2 linked regions of the Caenorhabditis elegans genome follow. The protein of the gene in region 1 interacts with the protein of each later gene in a pairwise test. Each region holds a gene or a part of one and is shown in the gene's direction. Other genes may lie near its edges.

What was found. Proteins that work in one complex are often made in the same cells at the same time.
Region 2: the proteins of fog-2 (region 1) and gld-1 interact in a two-hybrid assay, tested with the Caenorhabditis elegans proteins (2 studies listed by BioGRID).

What each region holds. Positions count from the first base shown.
Region 1 is NC_003283.11:20,197,461-20,201,145, forward strand, and holds fog-2 (F-box domain-containing protein), read left to right. Parts: upstream 1-1,801; 5' UTR 1,802-1,833; coding exon 1,834-1,874; intron 1,875-2,005; coding exon 2,006-2,083; intron 2,084-2,130; coding exon 2,131-2,770; intron 2,771-2,820; coding exon 2,821-3,045; 3' UTR 3,046-3,180; downstream 3,181-3,685. Other genes in the region: ftr-1 (F-box domain-containing protein), read left to right, coding at 1-481, 531-716.
Region 2 is NC_003279.8:7,693,856-7,698,765, forward strand, and holds gld-1 (Female germline-specific tumor suppressor gld-1), read left to right. Parts: upstream 1-1,825; 5' UTR 1,826-1,840; coding exon 1,841-2,029; intron 2,030-2,080; coding exon 2,081-2,282; intron 2,283-2,328; coding exon 2,329-2,466; intron 2,467-2,511; coding exon 2,512-2,636; intron 2,637-2,681; coding exon 2,682-2,798; intron 2,799-2,846; coding exon 2,847-2,990; intron 2,991-3,035; coding exon 3,036-3,248; intron 3,249-3,291; coding exon 3,292-3,555; 3' UTR 3,556-4,367; downstream 4,368-4,910. Other genes in the region: T23G11.4 (Hepatocellular carcinoma-associated antigen 59), read left to right, coding at 487-565, 670-1,313; T23G11.10 (uncharacterized protein), read left to right, coding at 4,446-4,536, 4,581-4,690, 4,742-4,910. UniProt on the Caenorhabditis elegans protein: RNA-binding protein which recognizes the 5'-UACUCAU-3' RNA consensus sequence. Binds sequences in both the 5'coding and the 3'-UTR region of rme-2 mRNA. Binds sequences in the 3'-UTR region of cye-1 mRNA. Binds to cyb-2.1, cyb-2.2 and cyb-3 mRNA.

The sequences.
Region 1 (3,685 bases):
AAATAATCCTGGTTGCACTGTCGAAAGAAACTCGCAGAGGAAATCTATTGAAAAGACTCAATTGAACGCGATTCTGGATGATTTGGCAGTAATTGTGAAGAATCCAAAACTTCGATTGGATAATTTTGTTATCGTCTCTTCATGTGGAAATTCAAAAGAATTTGTGGAGTGGCTTAGAGAGATCACCCAATCAGGAAGTCTGCTCCACACAAAAAGAATCAGGGTCATTGATTGCCCTGGAGATCTGCTCGGTGTCCTTTCTCACTGCAAGCCTGGATTTCTTGAAGCCATCGAATTTTACTGTTTTAACTCTGGAAAAATCGATGAAATTACCAATTTGGAACAGTGGAAACGTGCTAAATCGATTAATATTGACAGCCGTAGATGCGATGATATTCCCATTGAGCACTTCTTCCATTTTTCTCGTTTTACCATCAGAATGGGAAAACTATCAGTTCCTGATGCAATTAAAATTAGAGATGTTAGTTTAAGCTGCTAAACCATCAAAAAAAATCATGGACTATTTTCAGGATCTGATGAAATCCGCTCACTTCGAATACGGAATAATCGATATCTATGATGAACTGACTCCAGAAGCTGCACGAGTTTTCAATCCGAATTTCATTGCTCACAATCGCGATGGTATTGAGAACAAAATCGAGCAGTTTCTTCTCACAATTTATAGAAAACGTTTGGAAATCAAGAAGATCGATTAATGTTACCTATTTCTTACCCTTTTTGTTGTTAAATGCCGAGTTAAAATAAATTACTTTCTGTTAAAATTGTGATGTACCTTGATTGTATTGCTATTGTTCTTATTCAAATTTTTATTTATTGAATTTTAATTTGATTCAACGATCGACGGGCAGGAAAAACTAATAATCATCATTTTTGACAAAAAATTCTGAAACCAGACGGAAGATTACAGAAATCAGCTCATTTCTATGGAAATGTTATGCATTCTCGATGATTTTCCAGCTGAAAATCAAAATTTCTAAAAATCATATTATTTTCGAAAATTTTGTCGGAAATCTCACGAGAAACTAGTCATTTTCTACAATAAATTAATCAAAGACGGGTTATTCGCATCGTTTTAACGATTTTTTGTATTTTTCTGCTTCTTCCTTGAGAAATTAGCATTTTCGTGTAGGAATCGATTTTCTGAAGTCAATAAATTATTCTCAGTGAAATTTTGTGAAAGTTTTCAGCTTATTTCTTCAAATTTTACTGATTTTGGTCAAAAAATTTGAGATTTCCGATAAAGTTCCTTAAAATATTGTGTGTTTGGTGGATTTTCCAGTATTTTAAAATAGAATTACCATTTTTTCGTTAGATTTTTACCAATTTCACTAATTTTTTAAAGATTTCAATGTAATTTTTCGGTTTTTGAGGGAAAAATCATGAAAATTGCAAAAAAAAATATTAAATTTTCATAGGACTACTGTAGAAGGTACGCAATACACAACTGCGTACTCGGCATTTAATTTTACGACAATCAATATTTTCGAAACTCATTTTCTCCCGTTTTTTCCTTGAAATTGCATAATTTAAGCTGTTTTTTTTGTAATTTAAAATTTTCAGATCATCTTTTTTCGATTTTTATTCAAATTTTCCTAATAACCTTTGGATTTTTTTGTAAAAATTGCATTAAAACATCAATTTTCTAGAATTAAAATAGGTACTTGCTCGAAAAATGCGTAATTTGTAGTCAAAGCTTCGCTTCATGCTCTTTGTACTCTTTTCGTGGGGTTTCTTTACAATTGTGATTGAATTATGGTAATAATTTGTCGTTTTTTTGCAGAAAACGCCGGATTTCAACCAATCGAAACGAAAATGAGTGAAAATTTGACGGATGAGTTGGATTTGATGAAAATGTATGTTTTAGGCAAGGATTACAATTGAAAATTTGTTTGAAACGTCAAAAATCCACTGATTTCTTACGCGATCTCTTATGATGCTCCCAGCAATCAAATTTGAAGAAAACTCATAGTTTTTATAATTTCAGCTCCGGTCCTCCATCATTCTCTGACATGCCAATGGAGACGGTTTATAAAATTGTGGGAAAAGTGGATCCATACAGCAGGTATTATCGATTTTTTAATTTAATAACAATTTTAATTAAAAATTTAGATTGGCAGTCCGCAAAGTGTGCCGAAATTTGCGAAATGTCATCGATGACACTGATCCTGGCTTCAAGTATGTTAAGGTGGATCTGTCCAGATACGCCTCTCGTCTTTGGTTGACCAATATCGGACGCGGCGCAATTTGTTATTCTCGAAATTCAAATGATCCTGGTTGCACTGTCCGAAGAACTTCGCAGAGTAAATCTATCGAAAAGACTCAATTGGATGCGATTCTGGATGATTTGGCAGTAATTGTGAAGAATCCAAAACTTCGATTGGATAATTTTGTTATCGTCTCTTCACATGAAGCTTCAAAGCAATTTGTGGAATGGATTAGAGATATTGCTCAATCAGGAATTCTGCTGCACACAAAAAAAATAAAATTGGACATTTTTCCCCTCAAAGATGTGTTCGGTGTCCTTTCTCACTGCAAGCCTGGATTTCTTGAAGACATCGAATTTTACTGTTATGACTCCGCTGGAAAAATGGATGAAATTATCAATTTGGAACAATGGAAACGCGCTAAATCGATTAATATTGAGGGACGTGTATGCGAAGATATTCCCATTGAGCACTTCTTCCATTTTTCTCGTATCACCATCAAATTGAGAAAACTATCAGTTTCTGATGCAATTAAAATAAGAGATGTAAGTTTGAAACTACTAAAATATAAAAATAAATCATGAATTATTTTCAGGACCTAATGAAGTCAGCTCATTTTGAATATGCATACATCAAGATTATAGAAGGAGTCGACCCAGACGTTTTGAGAGCTATCAATCCAAATTACCATCCATATGATGCTCTCGATCCTTTTGAACACGGAAATTATACATTTCGTATCTCAAGTGACAGTCTGTTTGATTCAGCTCTAAAAATCGAGAAGGTTTCAATTACAGAAGACGACCTGGCCCTTTTGTGACGTCTTTTCTGGACTGAAAATGAGCATTTTTTGTTGAAAATCAATAATCCTGTTGATGTTTTTTTCCCGTATTATTCGATTAAATTTACTTTTTAATTTTGTTGTGTGCGAAAATCCAGATAAATTGGCATGATCACTGCTGTTTTAAATGTTAAATTGATTTAAAATCTCAAATAATATCTATATTTACTCCATTTTCCACGAGAGAATATTAAAAATCATGCCCATGATTTTTAAAATTCATTTAAAATCAAAAATGTATTTTATTCACGCGGTTTTTGAATTATTTAATGTTCAAAAAACAAGAACCATCCGAGAATTTGCCGAAAATTAAATCAAAAACTCGAAAAAAATGATTTTTTGATTCAAAAACGTATTTCTCACACCATTTTAGAGATTTTCTGACTGAAAATCAATTTTTTCGTTCTTTCTCCGATGCTTTCTTCAGTAATTTCGCATTTTCCGGTTAAAATCGATATTCTGAAATGAAAAACATAATTTTCCGCAATTTTCCATCGATTTTCAGCTAAATCCGTCTGGTTTTCACTTGTTTTGAGCTAAAATAAAGTCCCCGTGACATTTCCTTCAAAATTCGTGTTTCTTATGGATTTTCCAGGGTTTTGATGCGATCTGCATTTTT
Region 2 (4,910 bases), on another chromosome or scaffold:
ACATTTGCAGAATTAAGTGGAATCAATCAATAATTCTTAGTCTTTTCCTTCCTCAAGTCAATAAATGTGCATATTTTCCATATTCCATATCTACCCCTAACTCACACTCCCCTTCTTTTTGACATTTATATTAGCTTTATCATTCGTTTTTGTTAACTTTAATCACAAAAAATCCGGGCATAATTTCTCTTTACCATCTTCACTTTTCATGTCATTTGTTTTCACTTTTTTTGATAATTTTTTATCATTTGGGTCTTGTTTTTCACAAAATCAAAACTTTTTCACAACTTCTTTTTCAGTAATCCCAGTTTTTCTGTACCGATGTGACCAGATATGTATAAATTTTATTGCATCCAACAATCTCACACAGTTTGATTATTTGAAAAACTGTTCTGATTCAGAAAAATGTTACATTTACACTTTGAAAACTTTTTTCTAAAATTTGAATGCTATTTAATTTTTAAACTTTAAGCATCAACGAACACAATGGCCGATATCTTCAGAAAACCAAAATCAAAAATTCAAAAAAGGAAAATTTTAGAAGACGACGACGTTGCTGCTGATGGTATTTAATTTTTAATCTGATAAAATAATTGTTTTTAAAGCAAATGATAACTTAAGAGCATAACATGCATTAAAATTTTTAATGTTCTAAATTTTTTTTTCCAGAAGAGTCGTCAAGAGTTTCCGATATTCGAGATCTTCAACGATCACGAGAAAGGAAAAATGGTCTCACAGAATTAGAATGCGCAGTTGGAATTTCAAAAGCTGCAGCTCTCGAGGATGGAATTCAAATGGCTGGTGGCGGAATGGTGATGACAAGTAAAAAGAAGGCAGCAATGGAAGCTGCAAGCATTGAACAAGGACTCCGAGAACAATTCGAGAAGGAAACAATGCTGAGAGATGAACATGAAGAATTAAGGAAATATATTGATGACGGACTTCAAGAATATACAGCTGATACTTCTAAAATTGAAAAACAGAAACAACCTTCTTCATCAGCTGCAGCTAAATTTTCATCGCTGAATGCAGAAGATCGTGATGTAGAGCTTTTGAAACAAGCTGCTGGAAAAGTGAAGGGAAATCAAAGCAAAAAGGAGACAGAATTGCTTTCAGAGCATATGCTCGCAGGAATCCCAGAAGTGGACCTGGGAATTAGCACTCGTATCACCAATATCTTGGAGACTGAAAAGAAAAAACGATTCCTTCTTCAAATATCTGCTGCTGAAGCTGCAGGTCTTCCACCACCAATTGAAGAATGTGAAGAATCAAAACCAAAATATCGAAGACGTTTCAACAACCAGCGTCGATAAATTGAGATACACAAGTGTTTTTTATTTATTTTCCTGTTTAAATAAATTCGATTCATTTTATAAAACTCTGAATTGAAAGTATTCAATTAAATTCTGAAAAGCCTCATGCAAATCAGCGCACGGCTTAATAGGCGTGGCCAATTCCTGCCGTTTCGCCACCCGTGCGCGCATTTCTGGAACTTAAAGGAACATGTTGCACCGCGACGTATGGGTCTCGCAGCGATCGCAAACAGGTATACGGTAAAAGTTTCGAAATTTAGGACTTCACCTCAAAACTTTTTAGAGTTTTATTTTTTCGATGCTTTTTGGTTGTTTTATATTTCGTTTCATCTAAAAATTTTAGAAATAATTATTTCTATTTGAATATGACCACTTTCACATTTTCCTCGAATGTTTCATTCCGAAATTCTAGTGAATATTCGTTAGATAAGCTAGATGAGCGAATCGCCGCAGAGTTTAAGCTTATGTCGTTACGTTATTGAAAAATATATTATTACTAAGTTTTCTTACAGGTTAACCATCGAAGAATGCCGTCGTGCACCACTCCAACTTACGGTGTTTCGACCCAACTAGAAAGCCAAAGCTCTGAATCGCCATCTCGTTCGTCCGTTATGACGCCAACGTCTCTGGATGGAGACAATAGTCCACGGAAGAGATTCCCCATCATCGACAATGTTCCAGCGGATCGTTGGCCGTCAACTCGGCGAGACGGATGGGTACGCGAATTTTCATTTTGTTCATCAATTACAGTAATAAAAAATTTTCAGAGCTCTGTTAGAGCGCCACCACCAGCTCGTCTGACGCTATCGACGAACAACAGACACATCATGTCCCCGATTTCGAGCGCTTACAGTCAAACACCTAATTCGCTTTTGTCGCCAGCCATGTTCAATCCAAAGAGCAGAAGTATCTTTTCCCCGACTCTTCCTGCAACTCCAATGAGTTATGGAAAATCATCGATGGACAAGAGTATGAAACAATCTCATGTCTACTTATTTTTCTGTAATTTCTTCAGGCCTGTTCTCTCCAACAGCTACAGAACCAATCGAGGTTGAGGCAACTGTCGAGTACTTGGCTGATCTGGTTAAAGAGAAGAAACATCTTACGCTCTTTCCTCATATGTTCAGCAATGTTGAACGTTTGTTGGATGATGGTACATAACCGCTCTGTGTTCCTACAAGTAATTATTTTATTTTAGAAATCGGTCGTGTCCGCGTGGCTTTGTTCCAAACTGAGTTTCCGAGAGTTGAGCTTCCTGAGCCTGCTGGAGACATGATTTCGATCACTGAGAAGATTTATGTTCCAAAGAACGAATACCCAGACGTAATTTAACGAATTTCAAGTTTTCGAACAACTAAAACATTTCAGTATAACTTCGTCGGTAGAATTCTCGGCCCACGTGGGATGACCGCCAAGCAGCTTGAGCAGGACACTGGATGCAAGATTATGGTCCGAGGAAAGGGATCAATGCGGGACAAGTCAAAGGTTTGATCTTGTTACAATTTTATCTAAAACAAAGTTTAGTTGTTGAAGGAAAGTGCTCACCGTGGAAAGGCCAATTGGGAGCATCTCGAAGACGATCTGCACGTTCTTGTGCAATGCGAAGACACTGAGAATCGTGTTCACATCAAATTGCAAGCAGCACTCGAACAGGTCAAGAAGTTGCTCATTCCGGCTGTGAGTTATATGCTTCGTAAAATCTCTACAATAACCTATTTTCAGCCCGAGGGAACTGACGAGCTGAAGAGAAAACAACTTATGGAACTTGCAATCATCAACGGTACGTATCGTCCAATGAAGTCGCCAAACCCAGCTCGTGTGATGACTGCAGTTCCTCTGCTCTCTCCAACTCCACTACGTAGTTCAGGTCCAGTTTTGATGTCGCCAACTCCTGGATCAGGACTCCCGTCAACGACATTTGGAGGATCGATCTTGGTAGAACAGTTCTTCAGTTTAAGTTTCATATTTTTAATTTCAGAGCCCCACTCTCACTGCATCCAACCTTCTCGGATCTAACGTCTTCGATTACTCGCTTCTGAGCCCGAGCATGTTTGATTCATTCAGCTCTCTTCAACTTGCAAGTGATTTGACGTTCCCGAAGTACCCAACAACCACTTCGTTTGTCAACTCATTCCCTGGTCTTTTCACTTCTGCATCTTCTTTTGCCAATCAAACAAACACCAATGTGTCCCCGAGTGGAGCAAGTCCCTCGGCTTCTTCAGTCAACAACACCTCTTTCTAAAAAGTTCACATTTATAACTCACACTCCCTTTGTTTTGTTCGTTCTCACCATTTTAGGTTACCATAGAATCATGTGCCATACATCATGTTGCCATTTTTTCCCCCTCTCATCTCCCCCATCTTTATCATGTCATCAATTGGTATCTACCATCTCACTCCTTTAGGAATAGCATACACATACAGTTAGTAATAATTATGTAATGAGATACCTAATACCATTAATTCCTTTCTGTAATTTAAACTCGCCCTGCTGCTTTCACCATATGCTCTTTGATTTTTAAGTATCTTTTCCCTTTCTTCGCAGATCTTGAAAAGATATTTTAACATCAGAGAAAAACGGCAGGTGCCCCGGTAATAACATCTTATCAGGATAACCATTTTGGAGAATACTCATTGATACTTTTATTGATGCAGCTATTCCCCTACCCATTCATACTACCTCGAATGCCAAAGCACCCCCTTTATTTTTCTGTGTTATCTTAACGCTAACCCCTGTAGAATCTTCCCGGTTTGATGTAGTCATCAAAAATTTTTCATCTTTTCTAAATTTTTAGTAACTTGAGATTTTAATTTTCTTTCCCGCTAGTTAGATATGTTCAAATCTCACATCCCCATCAAACCAGCCCCAAGTCCCCATTCTAAACCCCTACCCCTTCCCAATCTGTCCATTATAATTTTAAGCACAAGTCCAAGAGCTAATATTTTTAGCAGTCTTTCACATTGACCATTTTCTCGGTACCCTGTTTTTGAGACCAAAATTTTGAATTTTGAAATTGAAATACAGGGCGAGATAAAATAATAAAAAATAGTTTTTATTCAATTTTTCTTCCAGTTCATGTTTTAAAACGATTAAAAAGGAAACATTAGTTAGAAACATTTTCATTTCTTCAAATGTTTCACGTGAGCAGGGATTCAAACTGTTTCCAATCCGAAGAGGATTTTGATGATAATCCAAGAGTTGATGGAGTTATCGAATTACTCAGTATGTGATGTTCTGTAAAAAAAATCGCCAGTTAAAATTATCAGAACTTTTCGTATGGCCTGCAGCTGCAATTATGTTAATTTTCCTTTTACTCCTGGTGAACAATTCGGTTAACATTGAGAAACAAAAAAACGTCCGGAGGCGTCATTTAATGGTATTTGTTATCGGTTATTTTATCAGGATCGTCTAAATAATAATATTTCAGAGCACAGTTCAAAATTGGCATATGCACGATGATTTTATTGCAGGACTTAAAGGAATTAGAAAAGAGGAAGAATGTAAAAGAATGATGTTTTCTGAAAAGTGTGAATATAGTAAACCGGTGGTCAATGCGTTGAATGAATATAAAAAAGAGAGAATTGAAGAAGTAAAGA